3 linked regions of the Rhinolophus ferrumequinum genome follow. The protein of the gene in region 3 interacts with the protein of the main gene of each other region in a pairwise test. Links are inferred from orthologs where the notes say so. Each region holds a gene or a part of one and is shown on either strand. Other genes may lie near its edges.

The links.
Region 1: the proteins of FAM168A (region 3) and UBASH3B interact in binary tests that used the Homo sapiens proteins (3 or more experiments, as listed by UniProt). The two-hybrid records come from large-scale screens. The link is inferred for Rhinolophus ferrumequinum from reciprocal best matches to the Homo sapiens genes FAM168A and UBASH3B.
Region 2: the proteins of FAM168A (region 3) and SS18L1 interact in binary tests that used the Homo sapiens proteins (3 or more experiments, as listed by UniProt). The two-hybrid records come from large-scale screens. The link is inferred for Rhinolophus ferrumequinum from reciprocal best matches to the Homo sapiens genes FAM168A and SS18L1.

What each region holds. Positions count from the first base shown.
Region 1 is NC_046308.1:37,595,399-37,599,142, forward strand, and holds the start of UBASH3B (ubiquitin-associated and SH3 domain-containing protein B), read right to left. Parts: upstream 2,978-3,744; 5' UTR 2,648-2,977; coding exon 2,487-2,647; exon of another isoform or gene 2,351-2,486; coding exon of another isoform or gene 2,250-2,350; intron 1-2,249. UniProt on the Homo sapiens protein: Interferes with CBL-mediated down-regulation and degradation of receptor-type tyrosine kinases. Promotes accumulation of activated target receptors, such as T-cell receptors and EGFR, on the cell surface.
Region 2 is NC_046306.1:1,343,965-1,347,708, forward strand, and holds the start of SS18L1 (calcium-responsive transactivator), read right to left. Parts: upstream 2,894-3,744; 5' UTR 2,706-2,893; coding exon 2,637-2,705; intron 1,781-2,636; exon of another isoform or gene 1,710-1,780; intron 881-1,709; exon of another isoform or gene 736-880; intron 1-735. Other genes in the region: PSMA7 (proteasome subunit alpha type-7), read left to right, coding at 3,191-3,286. UniProt on the Homo sapiens protein: Transcriptional activator which is required for calcium-dependent dendritic growth and branching in cortical neurons. Recruits CREB-binding protein (CREBBP) to nuclear bodies.
Region 3 is NC_046294.1:48,816,361-48,820,104, reverse strand, and holds the start of FAM168A (protein FAM168A), read left to right. Parts: upstream 1-1,328; 5' UTR 1,329-1,570; intron 1,571-3,744.

The sequences.
Region 1 (3,744 bases), on a different chromosome or scaffold from region 3:
AGAGCCTGTGAACATTACCTTATGGCAAAAAAATAAAATAAAAATGATTTTGCAGATATAATTAAGGATCTTGAGATGGGAAGGTTATCTTGAATTACCCGGGGAGGCACTAAACGCAATCACAAATGTCTTTACAGAAGACACAGAAGGAGATTTGACACAGAAGAGAAGGTAATGTGACCATGGAGGCAGAAATTGGAGTGATGCAGTCACAAGCCAAAGAATGCCAGGAGCCACCAGGAGCTCTAAGAGGCAAAAAATGCATTCTCTCCTAGAACCTCCAGAGGGAGCATAGCCCTGTTGTCGCCTTGATTTCAGCCCAGTGACACTGATTTGGGGCTCCTGGGCTCCAGAACAGTATGAGAATAAATTTCTGTTGCTTAAGCCACCCAGTTTGTGGTTTCTTGTTACAGCAGCCGCAGAAACTAACATAATAGCTAACACCTAATGAGTGCCCACTATGTGCCGGGCATTGCACTAACATGTTACCCACGTTGATGCATTACATTCCAGCCATGGATATGAGGCCTGAGCTGAGCAGGCGCACTGACTGGGTTTGAATCCCACATTCACTGCTTCCTATTGTGACCCTGAGCAGTTGCATAATCTCTCTAAACCTTTGTTTCCCAATTCATAAAATGGGCACATAAATACTTTTCTTGTTTGGTTGCTAGGAGGATAAAATAGATAGTAGGTAAAGTGCTTAGAACAGTGCATAGTAAGTGATCAGCAAATGCTAGTTGTAATGAGATCTCAGTGGTTGAACAAGCCAAAATTAGACCCTCATCCTAATCTATCAGGACATGGACAAGTGCAGGAAAAAGATGTCCCTTTAAAGCCAGTTTGAATAGCAAACATGATGGTCTGAGGAGTTAAGTATTTCTTCCCTTAATTAAGCAATTTATTAGGTTGGTGCAAAAGTAATTGCAGTTTAAAAGGTTAAAAATAAATGCAAAAACCGCAATTACTTTTGCACCAACCTAATAGTTCCTTACACTGGCCTCATTTCATAAAGGGAAAATGCCTGGGACTGTGCTAATTCTGCAGCATCGCCCAACAGACTTCCAGGCCCCTATCTACCATTCGTAAGGAGAGCTATGCTCAGTCATCATCCATAGGCTATGTGCAGCCATCATCCATAGGAAGGACCTAACTTGCAGCATCCACACCTGACACACCCCTGCAGAGCCCACCACAACTGCTCCCTGCAACTCTGGCATCAGGAACTGAAGCCCCTGTGCTTGGAAGCCAGTGGGAGACAGAAACATCAGTCCATATTATGGCCTTCCAAGGCCACGCCAACCTGACCCAGCAGGCTTGGTAGAATGATAAAATCAGAGGTCTGCTTTGATTAAGAGGTTACAGCCAGGTTAGTAAAGAAAAATCAAGGTTTGCCCAGAGGCCCTGGAAGGGAAACCTAGAGTTATCATCTGAAAATTGGAAGGGGGCGGGGGAGAAAAAAAAGTTTCATTAACTTGGCCCTTCCTAATAAAGTTTCCCCCACCTCCCACTCCAGGTGATGTAATTCAAAGAAGCAGCACCCCACGGGATCCCAGGCTGTCTGTTCCCACCTAAGAAATTTGTAAGCAACCAAGGGAGAAGGGCCTGACCTTTGGGCCTTGGCTTCCTTCTAGGCAGGGTTCCGGCCCCACAATCTTGGATGCCCAGCTTCAGAAGCCCCCTGCTGCTACTGCTGCTGCCTTGTGCTGGGATCAGGCCTCTTCGCAGCAGGCAGCAGGGGCAGCCACCTGCGCTTTCTCTGCCTTTCCCTACTCAACCCTCCTTGGGGAAGAAGGATGTTGGAGGACAGCTCCCCCCCCCCCTTATTCTCAGGCACCCACAGATTTCTGCGCTGCCATCACCACTGACAAGAACTCAGGTCCCCTGAAAGAACTGCTTTCCTTATTCCTTCCTCCCGATCAATGAACACGCAGCAACACCCACGATCCCGCTCCTCCTACTCCGGTGAGAGACCCAACCAGAGAGCAGCATCCGGACCTGGAAGCCGCTGCAGTGGGAGCGCCGGCCTCACTGCCCCGCTGGTCCCTTACCGTCTCGCAGCCATCAAGAGGATCCTAAGCTAGCCCTGCGTTCCGGATCAAGAGGATACCTAAATCCCCAATGGGGCCCCGCCTCCCCAGGGGCTCCGCGGTTAGCGGACAACAGCTTAGCCCCACCCGCGGAGGCCGGACGCTGGGAACGGTTCCCGGGACTCGAACCAGGTGCCGTCTCCTTGAGACATGCCTCACCTTAGGCATTCCCAGCAAGTCCCCCGTACAGCGCTCCCGCGCGGCATCTTCCCCTGCACCCCGGTGGGGAGGAGATGAGAGCCGGGCTCCTGCGCGCCCATCCTGCCCTCAACAGGACGTGGGCAGCGGGGAGCGCGCCGCCCGTCCCGCAGGCGCCGGGAGGCGAGCTGGAGCGAAGCCGAGGGTCTGCCGCTTGGGACGGGAGGGGTCGCAAGGGCTGCAAGCCCGGCTACTTACGCGCGGGCTCTGGGGAAGCCCATGGACAAGAGCACGTCCAGCGCCGATCCATGCTTGATGGTGCCGGGGCGCTGCTGGCGGTTCCTCCGCGGGGTGACTTTGCTGTACAGCTCTTCTCTCGCGGCCATGCCAAGCGGGGTGGGGTGGCCGTACTGAGCCATGGCTCAGAGGCCAGCCATCGCCGGGGAAGATGCTCGAGTCGGATCGTCCCGGAGGGAGGAGGGAGCTAGACTACGGTAGGGCAGGGGGCTCCGGGCCGAAAGCCGGGCGGGAGGCGGCGGAGAGGGCGGAGGCGGCGCAGAGCTTCCCGGGTGTCGAGATTCTGACGCTTCCTGGTGAGGCCACCGAAGCCAGAACGGCCCGCCAGCAGCTTCGGCCCGGCCAGCAATTCGGCTACTCGGGCCTCCGGGTGCCCCCAGCGCGGCGTCTGCAGCAGCTTCGCTCCTCCGCCTCCTTCCTTCTCTTCTCCCAGCAGTCCGGGAATTTGCAATGAGTAATTTTTGAATGGATCAAAAAGGAAAAGGAACCTTGTGGGTTGGCCCTGCCTTGCCTGTGCCCGGGCCCCGCCCCTCTCTTAAAGCTGCCGCGCCGCCGGAGGCTGCTGGAGGCAGCGCACAGGCTGTAGAGTCCGGTGCTTCTAGATGGAAAATTGGAACCAGCGTAGGCTGCTTGTGCGTTGGGATCCGAGAGTTGTTCCCAGCGCCCCTACCTTCTCCATGCCTTGCATATAGGGCCAGATGGGCCTCAAGACACCAGATCAATCAATGCAAGTTTCAAGTCCTTCTAGATGGGGTTAATAACGGAAACTGAGAGAACCAATGGATGACATTAATGAGCTACAGGGCCAAGACAGAAGGCCCAGATAAAAGGTTTTGCTTTCAACAGACTCTGCAAAACCTAGAGGATTGTTATGGCCGTTGAAGACCAATTCTATCAGCCCGACAAGTGGCCATACTGAAAACATAACATGCTCTCCATGAATAAGATAGTGACGTCAGGGTAAAGAGTAGGACCTCAGGCTCTCAGTTCTGGTTGGAGAGAGGAAAAAGAGGGACAGGACAGGGCAGAAAGAGGAAGAGAAAAGAAGATGAAAGGAGGAAGGAGGAGGAGAGACAGGACGTGGGAAGTAGAAGGAAGGTGGAGGGAGAAGGAACGGAGAAAGCACGCTCTCTAACTGTAAGATGCTGTTGATTTTGGTGTTGCTTTATAAGGCATCTAAACATTTTACCAGGGGAAATGGTACAGCTTAATCCTCCTA
Region 2 (3,744 bases), on a different chromosome or scaffold from region 3:
AGCTTGTGGTCATCTGTTATGGCAGCCACAGGAAATGGATACACCCTACCTATCCCAAACACTTCCCCTGACAGAACCAGGATCACAGATGCTCCTGTGTGTACTGGGCACTGACTGTGCCAGGCATCGTGCCAGGCTGGGACACAGCAAAGAATAAGTCGCTGACACGCAAACTCGGAAGCCCAAGCAACGTGCCAAAGTGCTGCACTCAGCACACGACTGCCAAGGGACCAAGGGAAGGGACATTTGAGTGGGGCCTTGACGGCTGAGTAGGAGGTTTGCCTGGCAGAATCCTACCCAGACATGCTCCAAGGACAAGTTGTATACTTCCTGCTCTCTCATTAAGGAGCAGGCGTCTGGAAAACCCTGTCTTTTCTCAATGCTCTGAGCATGAGCAGCTGCTGTGGACACAGCTCACACGAGTGCGGGACATGCACCTCTCACCCCCTTCTCAGCCTGCCAGTAGAAGAGCCCTGGATACATAAATTCACTGTCAAAATACAAAGGCCTGGGCAGCAGGTTAGCTCAGTTGGTTAGAGCCCCAGGCTCTTAACAACAAGGTTGCCAGTTCCATCCCCACATGGGCCACTGTGAGCTCCGCCCTCTACAACTAGATTGAAACAACTACTTGACTTGAAACTGATGGGTCCTGGAAAAACACAAATAAAACTTAAAATAATAATAATAATATTAATTTAAAAAAAAAAAACAAAAAAAAAAAACACCAAGGCCTACCAGGTCAAATCAGATGACAGCTTAAACGGAAGCCCGATTTCCAATGGTCAGTCAACAGGCTGATTTTCTGCCGGGGGATGCAGTCAGCAGGTTTCCTTCTTTCTGATCTGAAGTTCAGGAGTGGTGCTCTAACACACACTTTTGCCTGGAGAATTTGGGAAGCTTTAATACGGGGTGAGTACAAAGTACAAATAACTGGATGAGTACTGAAGTCAAAGGTGGCGTCAGGAACAGGGACTGTGCTCATCACGCTTAAACTCCAAAAGCCAGGGTGCCCGGAGACCCCTGGGATTGCTAACATGCACCTCTGCCTCGCCAAGTGTCCTCACATCAAGTGTCACAGTCGGGGCTGACCCTGGAGCCGCTCATTGCCTGGGTTTGACTCCTGGTCTACCACTAACCAGCAGGCACTTAGCCTCCTTCTGCCTCAGTTTCCTCATCTATGAAATGGGGGCGACAATAACTACCACGAGGAATAAAATGAGTTATGATTTGCAAAGCCCTTATAACAGTACCTGGTGTGCAGTAAGCGCCACATAAGTGCTGACAAATAAAAATGCCCCACTTTTAAGCGCATTTCTGCTGTTTTTTCAACTGGCCTCTTTCCTGTTTGGTTTCCTGAGACTCCTCACGGGTCAAAACCAGCCACAGCAAAGGTAGTCGAGGAACAGACAAGGTCCCCAAGGTCTGGCGTCATCAGGGTGAATATCACCTTGGAAGGTAAGAGGCTGAGGGAACCAAGGAATACTGCTGCAACCCCCACGAATCCCAAAGTTAGAAAGAAATCAACACAGCCACCAAAATAGTTTAGAAGATTCAAACGGAAAGGCTAACATCATTTTTCCTCTGAACTTGTCATCTAAAGAGAAACAGCAGAAAATTTAAAATCCCAACTTCAAATCTTACGAGTTTTGTTAAAGGGGCCCCAAACCTACATAAACGTTATCTCTAGAAAACCATAAGGCCAAACTTACAGAACGTGAGGACAGGCTGTAAAGCAAACCTGCAATGTTTCTATTAGGCGGAGGCTTGCCCAGGTGTCACGCTGAAAAACAATTTGACAGGCGCATAAGAGCGGCTGAAGCTTGGCCAGCAGGTCGACCCCGAGGTGTCGCCCGCTCCTCCAAGGGCTGCGGCACGCTGGAACGGCGTCGCACACTCGAGACGCGCCCCTTTGTGCCTCCGAGTGCCAGCACCTTAGTGAGGGACGGGCGTAGCCGGCTGCTGGGCCAGGTCCCCGTCGCCCCGTGCGCTCCCTCCACTCGCTAAGCTGTGCGCAGGGGCTAGTGGCCACCCGCCGCGTTGCGCCACTGTCTTCGCCAGCCAGGCGGGTCCCCCCTGCGCCCTGCGCGGCCCAGAGCTATTCCCAGCGTGGCTCCGCGAACTCCATGCCGCGCAGGCCACTCTACCGACACCATCCCGGGAGAGCTCGGCCCCGCTGCCCTGCACCCTGCCCGCGGCGCAGGGACCTTGAAAGCGGTGGGTCCCCACCATGTCCGGCGCGGCCTGGCGCTGTTCCCGGCTTGGCCCCACGGACCCCACCCCGCGGACACCATCCCGAGGGCTCCAGTCCCCACCGTCCTGCGCCCTTGCCCCGCGGCCGCCGCGCGCCCCCTACCCCGAAGGCGGCGAGTCCCCACTGCGCCGGCTTGGCCCAGGGACACCACCCCACCGACACATTCCCGAGGGCGCCCAGCCCCGCCGCCCTGCGCCCCTGCTCGAGGCCCCCGCCCAAGTTGGCGCATGCTAGCGGCGGGGCGCTCTTGTGGCCCCGCGGGGTCGCGGCCGTCGGCTGCGCCCCGGCTTTGTTCGAGCCCCGCGCCCGCCGGCTGCCCGCGCCCCGGCTCCGCGCGCGCCCGCCGGTACCCCGCGCCACCCCCAGCCCGTGGGCCCCTGCCCACCTTCTGGATGGTTTGCTGCGTGACCTCCCCTTTGCCTCTCGGCCGGGCGGACGCGAAGGCCACCGACATGGTCGCGGCGCCGGCTCAGCACGAGATCATCGGGGTTTCTTCTCCGGCTGCGCTCGGCTGCCGGAGGAGCTCATTCTCCGCAGTCGCAGGGGGGCGGGGGCCGCGGGGGTGTCCCGCCGTGGGCCCGCCCGCCCCGCAGCCGCCGCCGAAGGCCTCCGGGCCCACCGCCCCGCCGCCCTGTGCACTGGAGGCCCTCGAGGCCCAGCCTCGCGCGGACACCCCAGGCGGCCGCCCCGCGCCCCGCGTCCGGCCCGCGGCCGCGGCTCCGCCCCCCGCGCCCGGCCGCCGGTGGTTCAGCCCGGCCCCGCCCCAGCGCGCGCTCACGTCCTCCCGACACCGCCGCTGCCGCCTGACGCCGCCTTACGCCCTCAGCGCAGTGGGCGGTGCCCGGGGGCGGGCGCGGCGCGGGCGCGGCGACGTCGAGTCTCTGTCGGTCCGGCGGTGAGTGTGCGCTTTTCCCTGTACCGGTTGCGCTTCTCGCCGGCATGAGCTACGACCGCGCCATCACGGTCTTCTCGCCTGACGGCCACCTTTTCCAAGTGGAGTACGCGCAGGAGGCCGTGAAGAAAGGCTCGACTGCGGTGAGCGGCGGGCCGGGCCGGGCCGGAAGCGGGGCGGGCGTGCGGGCGCTGCTGGGGCGCGGGCAGCAGGCCGGGCTCGGCCGTGGGAGCGGGGGAGACCCCAGGACGCGGAGGCAAGCCTAGGAACCCGCGAGGCCCGGCCTGGCCGCGTTGCTAGGGCGCGGGGAGGCCTCGGCGTGCGGGGGCGCCCCGAAACGTGCGGGCGTGCGCGAGCGGGCGTGGGCCGGGCGCGGCTGGGGACAGGAGGTGGCTCTGGGGAGGAGCGCGTCCCTCTCCGTCGCGAGGCCTGGGCCGCGGCGTCTGCAGCCCGCCGTGTGGGGCCCGGCGGCGTCTCGCTACCAGGCTTCGGCCAAGCGGCCGAGCTGACAGCCTCCTTTGTCGCCGGCGGTCTGTGGTCCCACTCGCCTTTTGAAATCAGCACAGGGACGCGGGTTGCACACACAGGAGCCCTGACGTTG
Region 3 (3,744 bases):
GAATTTTAATTGACCACTACTATTTTAATAGTGGAACTGTTGAGCTCACAAGAAAAGCCAGACAGGCAGAGTCCTGGAGCTTCACTGAGGGCAACAGGAAGCCATAGAAAGCTTTTAGGCAGCAAGGAGAGGTTGTTGGATTTGGAAATTGTGTTTTTGGAATTAGTCTTATAGCTTAAAAATTATGTGCTCCCTTTAAACAATTCAGCCACTATGAAAATAAAAATTACTTGAAACCCTTTCCTCCAAGATAATCACTGATAATATTTTGGGGAAGCTCTTTCCTGAAATCTATGATTATAGAATATTATCTCAAATTTCACCTGAGTTGGACCATTCTAAACATGCTATTCTGTAATCAATATTTTTCCTTTGAGAATAAAATGTGAATAGCTTTTCATGTCAGTAAATAGATCTATATCATTATTTTAAATGGCTGTTCAGTACTGCATTGTTTATATACATAATTGAATTAGCCCGGTGATGGACATTTACGTGTTTTCCTTCTATAGTCAAGAACCTCATGTAACAACCTTGTATTCATCTTTTCCAAATTGTCGGATTATCTTTTTAAGGTGAATTCTTAAAAGTAATAGAGCTGGGTCAAGAATTATGCCCTTTTTACAGTTGGATTCAAGTTGCCAAATCGTCTTCAGATTTGCAGGACGACCAGGAGGAAGCTGCTGCCTTAGTTCTAGCGTGAGACTGTCGTAACTGGGATGGCGAAGAAAGTACAGTCTCACAGGTGATGTAGCTCATTTAGGCCTCTCTTCGGTGGGTTGGCAAATTCCTTCCCTTTTCCCTTTGCTTCACTTCTTTTTCTTAACATGGAGGCAGAACTGAGAACTGCATCTCCCAGCATATTGCAGGGACCACAGTCCCTGGGAATTGTAGTACCGGGCCTGAGAAGGGCCCGGAAGGAGGGCAGGAGACTTTGGGGGCATGCTGGGAAATGTAGTCCAGCGAGCGTCGGTAGCGGTGGGGGGGGCATTGTGTGCGCGCGCCCGGGTAAAGAGGTTGGAGATGCTGAGAACATCGCTACCTGGGGATAATGGAGCCGCGTGGGTGACCTAACTTCCTTCACATGTGGTCTTTGAGTCTACAAAACCGCCCGCGGATGGTTGACTTTATTCCATTGTCCATGACCGGGGAGGGCACCGCCCCACCGCACTGGGCGCGCGGCAGGAGCCGCAGGCCGCGCGCGGGTCGGAGCGGGGCATGCCGGGAGTTGTGGTCCCGGCAAGCTGAGGCTGTGGGACGTGTCGCGGCGCTGCGCCGGCTCCTCCTTCCCCGTCCTTATAGGTCCCCCGCCCCTTCCCTTCGCCTCCTCCTCCCTCGCCCGCAGCCGAACGTCCCCTCCCCCCATCCGTCGGGCTTCTCGGCGGCTACTGCAGAGGATTCAGAGCCGAGTCGCTGAGGAGGAGGAGGATCCCGGTCCCTGCGCGCCATCCGCCACCTTACTGGACACGGGCGAGGGAGCGAGAGCGTCGCCTCTGTACCCTCTAGAGAAGACAAGGGCATCGCCACCTCAGCCACCGCCGTCGCCGTTTTCGCCTGCAGCGGCTCTCCGGTGAGCAGACCCCCCCCCCACCGCCCCCTGGTCCGCTCGCCCTGAGCCTGGGCCGGTGGTACCGGGGAGAATGAGAGTGGAGGCTGCGTGAGCGCGGGTTGGGGGAAGGGGGTTGAGGTCGCGATGGAATGGCAGGCTGGGAGGGGAGACTTGTCCAGGCGCGGGCTGGGGGTGGGGTGAGGGTGGGACCCGAGCAGGTTGGGGGGCCACAGGAGAAGGGGACTTTTAATGGGGAATAACCGGACCTGGGACAGGAACGTGGGTTCGGGGGGCTGGGGTGGAATTTGGGATGGTTTAGGGGCGAGCTGGATGATGAGACTGGAGTGGGATGGCTTTTAATGGGGGAGGGGATTGAATGAGGGTGGTGGATTTGGGGTTGGCCTGGAGCAGTTGACAGTTTGGGATCCGAGCTGGGGTGCGGGGTAAGGAGATCATTTCAATAGAGAGTGGGATTGCAGGGTTGGATAGGACCCTGGCGCGGGGGGGGGGGATTGTTAATTCAGGAGGTTGGAACTGGGGGTGGACCTAGGGCAGGCTAATAGAGGTGGTGGAAGCTGGGGGTGGGGGGCTTGGCGTGGGTTGAGACCTGAGCTTGAAGTAGGCGTTTGCCATCTCAGGGTGGTGGAATTTGTGGAGACTTACGGAATCGCGTGGGTTAGAAGAGCAGAGGAGGTAGAATTTGGGGTGTTCCTGGGGAGCTGGTGGGAGTGGGACTTTCAATGAGGGGAGTGTAATGGTGACCTGGCAGGAGCGGGGTAAATTAGAAATTAGGCCCAAAATGGGCGGACAAGGATTGAAATTGGGCGGAAGGCGGAGGGGGGTGCACAGTAGGATGGGATTTCGGGTGATCTTAGAACCACTGGAAGGGGCATTGGTGGCTCTCTGGGTGCAGGGTTAAGGCAGAGGGCACAGAAGTCACCGCTGAGCTCGATTCACTGAAAGAAGAGTGGCAGGTGGTGAGCAATGTTGGGGGATGGTGTCTTGAAGAAAATGTCCCCTGGTCAAGGTGGCAGAGGGAGTTTTGGAGAAGGAATGTCTGAGAAGAACTGGTAGGACTGGCGAGATGGTTGCTAATGGGGAGGTGCAGAGGGGTTCTTTACGGAGTGGGAGACATCGGGTTGGTGTGGACGGGCAGGGAGGCTGTGGAGGGGGCAGGAGCAATGCTGGGAAGACGCAGGGGAAGGATTTGGATGGCCTTCAACAGGCAGAAGCAGGTGAAGGGCTGGACTTAAATGGACAGCTTTGGAGGCTGTGGTCGGGGGAAGACAGTAATCACAGGGACTTTGCAGGGGACAGAGAAGGTACATGAAAGACTCCCAGAGGACGTGGTAAGCTGTTAGTTTCATCTTTTTGTTGCATGTATATTAGTATTATATTTGGAAGTAAATCAACCCAAAGGGGAAAGTTGAGAGAGGCTTCAGTTAAGGTAGAATGAAGGAGGGGAGCATGTCTTCTGTTACAGACACACCTTGGAGGTACTGCAGGTTTGGGTCCAGACCATCACAATAAAGTGAGTGTTACCATCACGTGAGTTGTGTGCTTCTTGCTGGTGGAGGGTCTTGCCTTCGATTTGTAAAAACTGCAACATTCGTATAAATCTGCAACATTCGTATAGCGCAACAAAGCAAAGCACAATAAAAGGAGGTATGCTTGTATTGATATAAAAACAAAGTTTGGAGAGAAAAGCCCACTCCCAAACTAAAGGTGGAGAAGATGAAACTGGAATGTGATAGATGTCTTTCTATATGATGTCTCTGCGTCTTTTCTGCCTTCCCCTTGGTGCATTTAAAAATTAGTCCTGGAATTTAGAATTCAATAGATTTGATGAGCTTGAGGTAGCAAAGGGAGCGTTCCTTGCTTGAGAACTGATGAATGAGACTGAAAAATATAAAGCTGAATTCATCTTCTAGTCAGGCAGCGTGCATGTATGCAGAAAGAGCTTGGGCCTTTTTTTTTCTCCTCTAAAAATTGATTGCTTGAAGGCTCCATTTATTGGTGTCCTGGTTTGCAAGGCAATTAGGCCCATCATTGTATTGCAGGCTAACAATCCTGAGATGAATCTTGGCACCACCGCTTTAAGTAAACAGAGGGAAGACAGGAAATATGGAAATATCATAAATATTCATTGGTAAGATGGTTTTGGTATTGGTGGAGTTTTTCATTTGATTCTCTTC